Drosophila melanogaster: one gene and its partner. The protein of the gene in region 2 interacts with the protein of the main gene of each other region in a pairwise test. Each region holds a gene or a part of one and is shown on either strand. Other genes may lie near its edges. The genes, in order: CG43795 and sas.

Region 1 (4,835 bases), on a different chromosome or scaffold from region 2:
CATCTAAATAGTTAAACAATCGGGCGTGTCAACTAGGCCCACTAAAGGATCAACTTTCCCCATTCGCCCATTTTAGTAGCCTTTTTAATTGGTGTGCCTGCTTTTGGCTCATTCAATTATATTGATTGCCGTGGGGTGGGGGAGTTTTGCGAAATGAGCTGTGAACACAGTTGTCCTTAGTTAATTGGTTGCATGTCAACTGGCCAACTCAAATACTCAGGTATTTGACTGAAAGTTTGTGCGAAAAAACTACAGCGACCAAAAGTATGCAGCCAAGTTGCAGATACGCGAACTGATTTCTTCTTCCTTTTTTTTTAGCAAATGGCATCCTTCGAGCATCCTTATGCTCCGTACATAATTAATAACTTTCCACGGTAAATCCGATTTAAGCCGATTTGCTAGGCTTTCAGCAGACATAAGTTTGATGCTCACACATTCTGAAGTTCAGTCCCTAAAGTTTGTCAAAATAAGGGCTTATGCGCCCAGAATACTTTAGCCATCCCCATTCTTATCCTATATTTTTGTTTTTGATAATTATACTCGGTACTCGGCAGATTAAAAGGGTATATTCGACTAGTTGGAATGTATGTCACAGGTAGAATACCTCTAGGAGAGTTGATGTGACCATGTCTATCCGTTTGTCCATATGAACATCGAGTAGCAGAGTACAGGGTATCAAATAGTCGAGACTCTCGAATGCGACATCATCTCTTGATTTTAATTACATTTACGAGGCTTGTGTAAATGGTCAAATGAATTAAGGTCTTAGTCAAAATAATAATTAAATGGAACACACATCCACAGACTGCACAAATACACTGCGGAAACGGCTACGCTGCCAAATTGGAAAGCCCACTTTAAAAATGTAGTCTTGATTTAATTACACTTTGGCCGCATGTAGCTGTTTTCAATGTACACAAGTGAATAAATGCAAACATGCCACCTACGTAATTAAATTTCCGAAAGGAGGATTAAGTAGATGTCTCTCGCACATTATGCAAACCCACTCACCGATTGACCAATGCGGATAAATTGGGAAACCACAGGAGGCCCTTAGGTAGTGAAAATCAGATCTGTTTAAGCGAATCTCAATGAAATTCGAGCCCAAACACGTGTAGCAGCTTTCAAGCCGTACTTGCAGCTTTCTACGGCTTTACTTCATAGCCACTTTGCTGTTTGCCCCAAATCCGTTCTGGCGAAGTCCGCGCCTGGGATATCTGTTGAATTTTTAGAAAAGCCTTTAAAAAAAAGGACTTCGCAAAGTAAACGCCGAATAAGTGGAAGGCAAAACAGCTGCCAACGAAGAACGTTGGGCGTTAGTATTTGCCGCTTTTTCATTCATTCGCAGCTTTTTCTGTATTGTGCTGCCTTTTGTTGACAAGGCAACACTCGGAGAAAGTGGAATATAAATTATATACTTCACTTATTCATCTAACGCAACAAAGGTATCACTTTGAATCAGAATAAAAAGGAAAATGATAATATTTTAGATACATAATCAGGCCCTGTACAACATTATACCATTGCCATTTTGAGGACGCAATAAAACCATTATGTGAACTTGGAAGACAATAGTTTTCCCTTTAGCAAGTAGCATGTACGAAAAACTTAAATTTCCATTATTTGCCCATTCCTAATGCACTCGAAAAGTTGTCCACCCCGTGTTCAGAACTCTTTGCCTGCACATTTCTCCGACTGTATGCAAATAAGTAACTGAAACTGACAGTGACACCACAGCGTCCTCCCATCCTGCCATCCTTCGCAGCATGGGTCAATGGCGAACTGCAGGCATCAGCAGGAGGCTGGGCAAATTTGCATTCATAAAGCAGAAGCGCCCAGTTGGCCCATTTGTATGCAAAGTAAAGTATTACTGGGCGGATGAGTTGGGGTAAGTGAAAGTAAACACTGGCTAAGAGCGTGCAGGTAAATGCCCAAATTAAAACAATGACTCGGAACAGAAGCTCGGGATTTGGAAGATGGCAATTAACGTGAATGAAGCGCATAATAAGTCGCTTGGATCGCTTGGATTCTGGCACTCGCACTTTGCCAAGGAAATGTGCTGACATCAAAGAAGTATAATTTCTTCATTTGGCTAAATGGCGCCCAGTTAATTGGAACGCCGAATTTTCGAACCAAACAAAGGAGTTTAATTAATTGGCCGAAAATAAAGGTCGGCCGAACATAAAGTTCCGAGTAAAAGTCGGAGCGGCAAGACAGTTTTACACCTGGACGGGCATACGCACACACGGCGTATGAGTGATTTCGATGTGCCTTTCACCCGAATTTCTCCACATGGACATGAAACATCCTGGCCTCAGCCTAATTAATTGACTTGCAGATGGGCCTCTAGGTGTGCACGGGTATTTGCATTCTGAAAATAATCTCCCAGCGGAAGATAATGAAATTTATTATTTACTTTCGCTTGGGCAACATTCCTGCGCGGCCTTCGAATCCGCTGTCAGCAGGCTTCATCTCACCGAGTGGCGGCACTACATTTTTATGCTTTTGTTAACTCATTTATAAGCCGTACTTTTTGCTGGCTCCAGCCCATGCTTCCACAACGCATGTACGGGTGTTTAAGTTCTCAGCTGCCCCATGAATGCACACAGATGCAGGCGCATCGAATGCGATTTGCGTAAGCTGTTGTCCGAACAATGGCATTACGTATACGCCCCATGGACAGGCATTTGGCTCAACAACTCGCACAGGAGCAGTCAGAGGATCAGCCCAAAGGCACAGATAACCAATTGGTTTTCACATTTTCCATTTGGTTCGGAGTGGGGCACACTGTTTTTTGGTTAAGCCACAGTTGCCGTTGACTTTGATGTTGATGTACATACATGATGAGGCTTACATTAATGTGAATGAAGTGAACTTGATTTGTGAATGTCTGTTCGATTTTCCTTGTGCTTACATACCTTTAAAAGGTTACTCCGCGTTAAGTTTTTGCTTAGCTTAGTTTTAATTGATTGGTTTTCAACTCTCACTGTATTTTTGGTCACAAAACTATCGCTGCCATTGTCGAGGCAGACTTGTCTTAAACTATTCGGATCACTTCACCAAACACGCGATCTTGGCTCGCTAGAATCGAAATAGTTCTTAAAGTTCCTCCTGGGACCCCACGATGGATGCACAACCACGCCGCGACGCGCTTCAGAGCGAACTGCCAGCCGCCGTGCGACGTCGGAACTCCAGCCTTAAAGTCGGCTTCGTTCGCTCGCGAACTCACCACGCCCCGAAACGAACGGTAAATCCGAGCGCTGGCAATCCGAGGCGTCGATTGTGGGTCTGTGGACCAGCAGCTGAGCGCCGGAGAAAGTGAAAGCCGTTCCCATCGGCACCGGCCACTGTGGAGATTGAGGCAGGTTAGTGCCCGCTCTCACTCGCTCTCTCTTTCGTGCGAGAACCTTCCAGCGATGTTTCTGATTAGACTGGAAGCGGCGGCTTCGCCTCTGATAAGCCAGACTTTGGCAGCGCAAAGTAAACTGTTGCATGTAACTCCGCTCCGATTTTTTACACTTTTAGTTAAACAAAGGAATATATTTCAGATATGTACTTGTGACAAACTAGTTGAGACAAGTTACCAATCGAGACTCTCAAGTTTAATCATTATGTTTACGGCTTAATTTAATTTCAATTTCCATCTAGACAGGAAGATTATTTATCGAAAAACATTACTATTAGTATTTTCTCACAAGTATTAATTTTAAGAGTCTTAAGAATCCGAAAGGAATTCCAATCGCGTAGTATGGAAATTTGTCGTAAATTGTGAGAGCTTTGATTCTATGCCTCCAGGAGCAATCTTACAATAGATTTCACTTCTATTGAGAACCTATCACAATTCTATGTTTTTGACCCCGCATCCTGGACATGCGCGCAGTGGTAATGGAGCCCCCTGCACAGCTGTTCGGCATGTCCGGCATTCCAGTGTGGTGAGTTGCTGGTCGGCAGACCGTGCTGATAAGAATCACTGATAAGAACGCACTGCGGACGCAGCTGCATCCGCCCAAGAGCAACACGTACCGCCTCTTTCATAAATGGGGTGCAATTGCATAAGACTTTCATCATTGCAATTTGCGGTTCCCAGCGGATGGAGGGTGGGTAGGGTAGGGGCGAGGCGAAAAGGTTGCCGCAAAATGCGCAACGCTGCAGACGCAATTAATGCGCACCGTTTTACAATTAGCGACCTGGCCCAATTATGCAGCTGCCACCCCCTGCACCCCTGTACCCCCCTTTACACCCATTACCCCCAGCGACCCATGCAGAAAACCTCCGTCGTGAATCTTGCTCGTTGTTTTTTTTTTGTCACTGGGAACGGCTGTTAATAGGAAATTCATGGCCGCCGTGTCCGGTCGCCGGGCTCCACAGCATTTTTCCCTCGACGAGCACGTGAATTGGGTTGGGTTTTTGGCCTTTCGGCTTTTGGGCGACTGGGGCTGTCTTTTAATTATGATAATTACATTGTTGTCGTTCTAATTTGCTGACAGCAGCTGGAACGCGATCTCTGGCGTCGGACAAGAATGCTCCCCTAAATGCTCCCCTTTTCATGGCAAGCTAATGTTGAATGCACGTTGCACGTGGAAACCAAATGGGGCTTCTGGTTTCCGAGAGGATGTGCGAACTGGTACACTTGGTTGCTGCAACTTGAATTTGTCGAGAAATTTAAGCAGCAAATTGAAGTCATTGCGAAATTTGGAAATTTTATATCGAAATGTCACAACTAATTTAATACATTAAAAAAAACATGTGTTGTTGATTATAGATTCCTTTTAATGGTTCATTTCCAAAATGTACTAAATAAATAATATGTTTATATTGCTGTTGCTGCCAAAATC
Region 2 (4,907 bases):
CGGACTACGTAGGTTAAGGGCATGAGTCATGACAGTTGGCTGCTTTGCATTTAAATTGAGTAATTTGTGAAGGCTTACCTTACCACCATCCCAATGTTTGCTGTTAAATCTCATTAACTTCCCGTGGCATTTAGACCGGCTAAAAAAGGCCAGTCCCTTTTAAACAATGCATTCCCACTTGCCATGGCAACAACCTATGCTCAATCGATCTAGACCTGTGTGTGGCCTGCTAGACCTCGTTTTATCGAGTCATCAATGAATCTAGATGGAATAGTATCAAAACAATGAAAAACCAATTGAAGTTTTTACGACGGAGTGCTTGCCTCGTGAAGAGTTTGGTGTGCAACTGACATTAAGCCCAAACAACCTTCTAGATAATTATAAATCTGTTACAGCCAAGAACTCGGCAATGGAATTGCCCGATTAATCTATTTTGCAAAAGGTACGTGTGTGAAAGTTAATCATTCCATCTCAGGTGATCTGGTTAAACGAATTTCTCCAGTTATCCTAATAACCTAAATGTGAATGTGTTCATTCAACAGAATTACAAAAAAAAAAAAAAAAATCTAATCTGATTTATTATTTTTTATTTTATATTAAGTATCAATTGTATCGAAATAGAAGTATAATTCAATTTATCTTGAGTATCTTGGGTGTAGTACGAGTAGAATATATTAAGATTTAATTAAGTTCATTCACTTGTTCTAGCACGAATAATAATTTCTCGTATAATTGGTTTCCGAGATTGAGCTTGAGGGCCGGAAATTTTAATATTTTCCCTTTAATATGCCGCGTAATTAACTAAGTAATTCAACAGGAAACCGCTTATGTATATCTTCAAATATTCTTCCATCCATTAATAGTCAAACAATTTCTCTTGTTCGCTCCATTTAACCGAATCGGAAAATAATTATGGAGAAATGCCGTACAAATCGAAACGAAATGGGTAAAAAAAAGGGCGGACCAGAAGTCACGCACCGGCACGGCGTTAATTGGTGGCTCAGAGAACGAGATTTGATTACGGCGCAGAGAGCACAGCGCGGCTAGGCGGGATTAAAGTGTCTGGCCGGAGATCGGGATGAGATGCCCCAGCTATGCGAGCGTCGTCGCGTAGATGCCGTCTATCTATAATTTTCATGGCTTTCGGCTTGGACTCACCAGTTTCGGTCGCATTGGATTTGTTGGCCGCCTCAGTTGTTGTCGTCGTGGAAGTCGTTGAACCATCCGCCGCCTCGGTGGTTATGCTGCTGATGCTGCTGCTTTGTTCTGCGGCAGTTGTGGCTGGAGTGGTGGTGGCTGCAACGGCGTCTGGGGCATCTGTTGTGGTATCCAAAGGTGGCATCGTTGTGGCCGCTGCGTCTTCGCCTGCGGGCGCAGACGCCGCACGCTCAATTTGAATGCCAAGCAAAAGTAATCCGCAGAGAGTGGCCAGGCACATTCTACTCCACTTGATCGTGGATTGGCCGCCGGAGGCTTTTCTTCTTCTACACGTTTGCATTTTGGTTTATGTTTGTGCTCCGTCTTTTTGGCTTTTCCTCTTTGATTTTTCTCACACGTTTGCACTTGTTATTGTTAATTTATAGTAATCTGCTATAAATATGGAATTAAATAAATTACATGCACTTTTAAACGTTTCGAAGGGTCTCGATAACTCATTACCTACTTTTGTTCACTAGTTATTATTTAGTTTTCTCTTTTGGGGTGCGGGATTTTCTTATGCGGTTATTTTAGTTCACACGACATCTGTGGCAGCGGTTTCTGTTATTTGTCATTGACTCGCTTTGGTAACCCCAAATGCTGTCATTTCCGTTGAAAGTCGGTTGAATAACGATCTCTCAAGTGTCAACTCAAGTCTATATTTTGCCAGCCGATTTGTTGAGTGATTTGTTAGGTCGCCCTACGCGGAAATTGGAAAGTTGTTAGCTTGAAAATAGGGGTGGCTTACTCTTGACTCAATCAATCAAAAATAATATGTGAGTTAATTAAGCTACGAAATAAAAGTATTAGCTAATTTTTCCAAATACGCCGCATATCTAAAGCATTTCCTATGTCACACATTTATGTAATGACCAATTTAAGTGTGAAAGCGTAAACATCTTCGATGCCACTCACGCAAGTTCGTTTCCCAAGTCTTTTGTTTTATAAAGTTTCGCATAGTTTTGAATGTGTCCGAATTTTTGAAAACCTATGTAGATTTACGATACGTAAACCCTATTTAGCATATTTCATTTAGATTTACAACTTCTGTACCTAAGCCTAGAGCAGCTCATAAATATCTTTCATTTTTTTAAGACTACGCCGCCAGCACAATGTTTACTTCTCACCATTCAAATCAGAAACTAGGCAAATAAACCAGCTTGCCAAAAACAAAGGCTGCCAATTGGGCTCTAAAAAAAGATATACTGTTTATATGCAAGGCAGTCGATGCTCATGCAACTCGCTACAATGCAACGCCAGCAACAAAAAACCCTAGACCCAAATTGCGATAGCAAAATATTTCAACCGGTTCCAACGGCAGCAGCAGAAACTGCAACTGAAAACGGCTGCAGACCGCAGAATTTGCTGCACGCCTTTTTGGCCATATTGGTACGAAGGCAATTAGACAGCGTGCGGTTCTATTTATTCCATATCTGCTGGCAATTGTTAATATTTCTTTTGGCTAACATCTAGTGATGTCATTGTAAAAGTTGATAGCTATTTGCACTGACATTTCGCATTTCACATTTCACTCTCACTCCTTTTTTGTAGAAATGGCAAATGGCAGAAAGCAAACAGCGAACAAGCGATTCGGAGCTGGAGGGAGAAAACGTGTTTTCGGTATTTCCAATGGAATGTTTTCGGTCGTGGTTCTCTTTTCTTCTGCTGGGCCGTTTATTTCACTACCAGATCTTGTGTTTGTTTAATAAGAAAGCAAAGATTTGCATAAATCACAACCGCACACACACGCAGGCACGCTTAAAACGAAGATTAGCACCAACCCGGCGAGAAATAGGTATAGGTATTGGTATATATCTCCTCTTATCTGGCCACGTTTGTGGGCAGCGCGGTTTATATGTATATATAAATCGTTCGCAAAGTAATGCGATCGCACTCGGCCAACCGCTCCGTCTCAAGCACGACCACCAACTGATCTCTCCGGCGGCACGGATCTTGGCTGGTAGCGTTGCCAACTCACCACGGTCTGCATCTGCAGGCTGCCAACATGTAACTGGTTTGCTGTTGCTCTCCGGCCAACTCTTAGTTGGCTCTCATCTGGCTGGCTCCTTCTCGCGCGTCAGCTGAGCGCAACAGGTGAGACCGTGCACGTAATACATAATACCCATTACCATTACCCCGTGGTTGAATGCTCGCTCTCACCCACACTCAGGTGTGTCTAGGCTGTTGCTGTCTGCCAGTGTGGGTGTAGTGAGCGAAAGGCCCTCTCTAGAAGTCGTTGGATTCGAAACAAGACGACCATGATGCATACACAAGACTCAAAGACGGAGTTTTTTTTTTTCAATTTGGCAAGGCAACTGCAATAGTCGATTCCTTGACAAGTGAACTCAGCGCGATCTATTTGGACTGTCCAATTGGATGGCGAAAAACTCAATCCCATTGAAAAACCCAGGCCAAGCCGAGTTGGCATTCATCGTTCCGATTACGCCTACCTTCGGTTTCTTTCTTCCTCGACTTCTTTGTCTGACTTTTTGAAAGAGCACAAGCGTAGATTCGTATTAGCGGCCCTGCATCTCCATACTCGTAGATCCAGAGTGTTCATGAGTCAGGGATGCTTGGGGTCACAGCGGCACTAAGAGATTAATCCCATTTACAGCTTTCGTAAATATGATTAAATAAAGAAATTCTATGCTACTTCGAAAGAGTGAAATGATAAGTGATAAGGTGATACCTTATCACCCCTATTGTAGGGTACATTGAACACTCGTGAGTGATAAAAATGATTAGTATAAGGATAGCATTAGTACTATATTATATTATATTATGTGAAATAATTACTATAATCCCTAAATGTTTGGTGTTCTAATAATATTTAACCAATTACTTTGGGATAAGTAAAACTAGAGATAAGATAAGTACGCCGACGCTATTAAAACCCAAAAACTAGTCGAGGTCAAATCGGTTTCTATAGAGGAAAGTACGATATATGTATATATAACTACATAAAAGTTATTTTTACTGCGATACCCGAAATATTAAATAAAACTAGAAAGATTCATGAAATTCCAATATCTATTAGCAAACCCAAATAACCGCCATTCCGAAGGCCTTATCTGCGGAGCTGCTCCCAAATTCATAAATCCACCGATCACTGACTGATCCACCGCCATCAAATGCCATCGATGCAAATATCAATTCTCCACTTGGGATGCGAGACGCGCCCAGAAACCGTCATCACACATCAATGGCAGCAAGTTGGCCAACCGTCATTAAAAAGGAAATGTGTGTCTGAAGAACTCAAATCTAATCAAATCAAATCATATCCAACTCAACTCTCAACTCTCTGCTCGCAGACGTCAAAAAGTATCAAATGTGCACACAGTTTCTATGTTATTGGGGCTGCTCTTGTGGTTGCATACATTAACGTGCAAACATCAGAGAATAATGCAGAAATGCGCTTTTTTTGGTGTTGCACAAACACGGCCAAAGTTGCATTGTCTCCCTTTGTTTATACATACATATATTTTGTCTGGGGCTTATCGCACCGTCATTGAGAAGCCGCTAATGCTAATGCTAATAAAATACAGGCGAACATAAAAAGATAATAATAATAACAATGCAACTTCAGTTTATGCTCACAGTTTTTGAATGGAGCATTTCTCAATGTATGCAAAGGAAAAGAACGCTGCAAGAAAACGGAAACTACAAGTAGTGTCTTTTGCATAAAATGCACAACATATGAATACTAAAGC

Evidence for each region.
Region 1: the proteins of sas (region 2) and CG43795 interact in a two-hybrid assay, tested with the Drosophila melanogaster proteins (one large-scale study listed by BioGRID).

Annotation. Positions count from the first base shown.
Region 1 is NT_033778.4:23,442,467-23,447,301, reverse strand, and holds the start of CG43795 (uncharacterized protein), read right to left. Parts: upstream 3,166-4,835; 5' UTR 2,919-3,165; intron 1-2,918.
Region 2 is NT_033777.3:7,161,112-7,166,018, reverse strand, and holds the start of sas (stranded at second), read right to left. Parts: upstream 3,212-4,907; 5' UTR 2,979-3,211; intron 1,898-2,978; 5' UTR 1,660-1,897; intron 1,591-1,659; 5' UTR 1,499-1,590; coding exon 1,159-1,498; intron 1-1,158.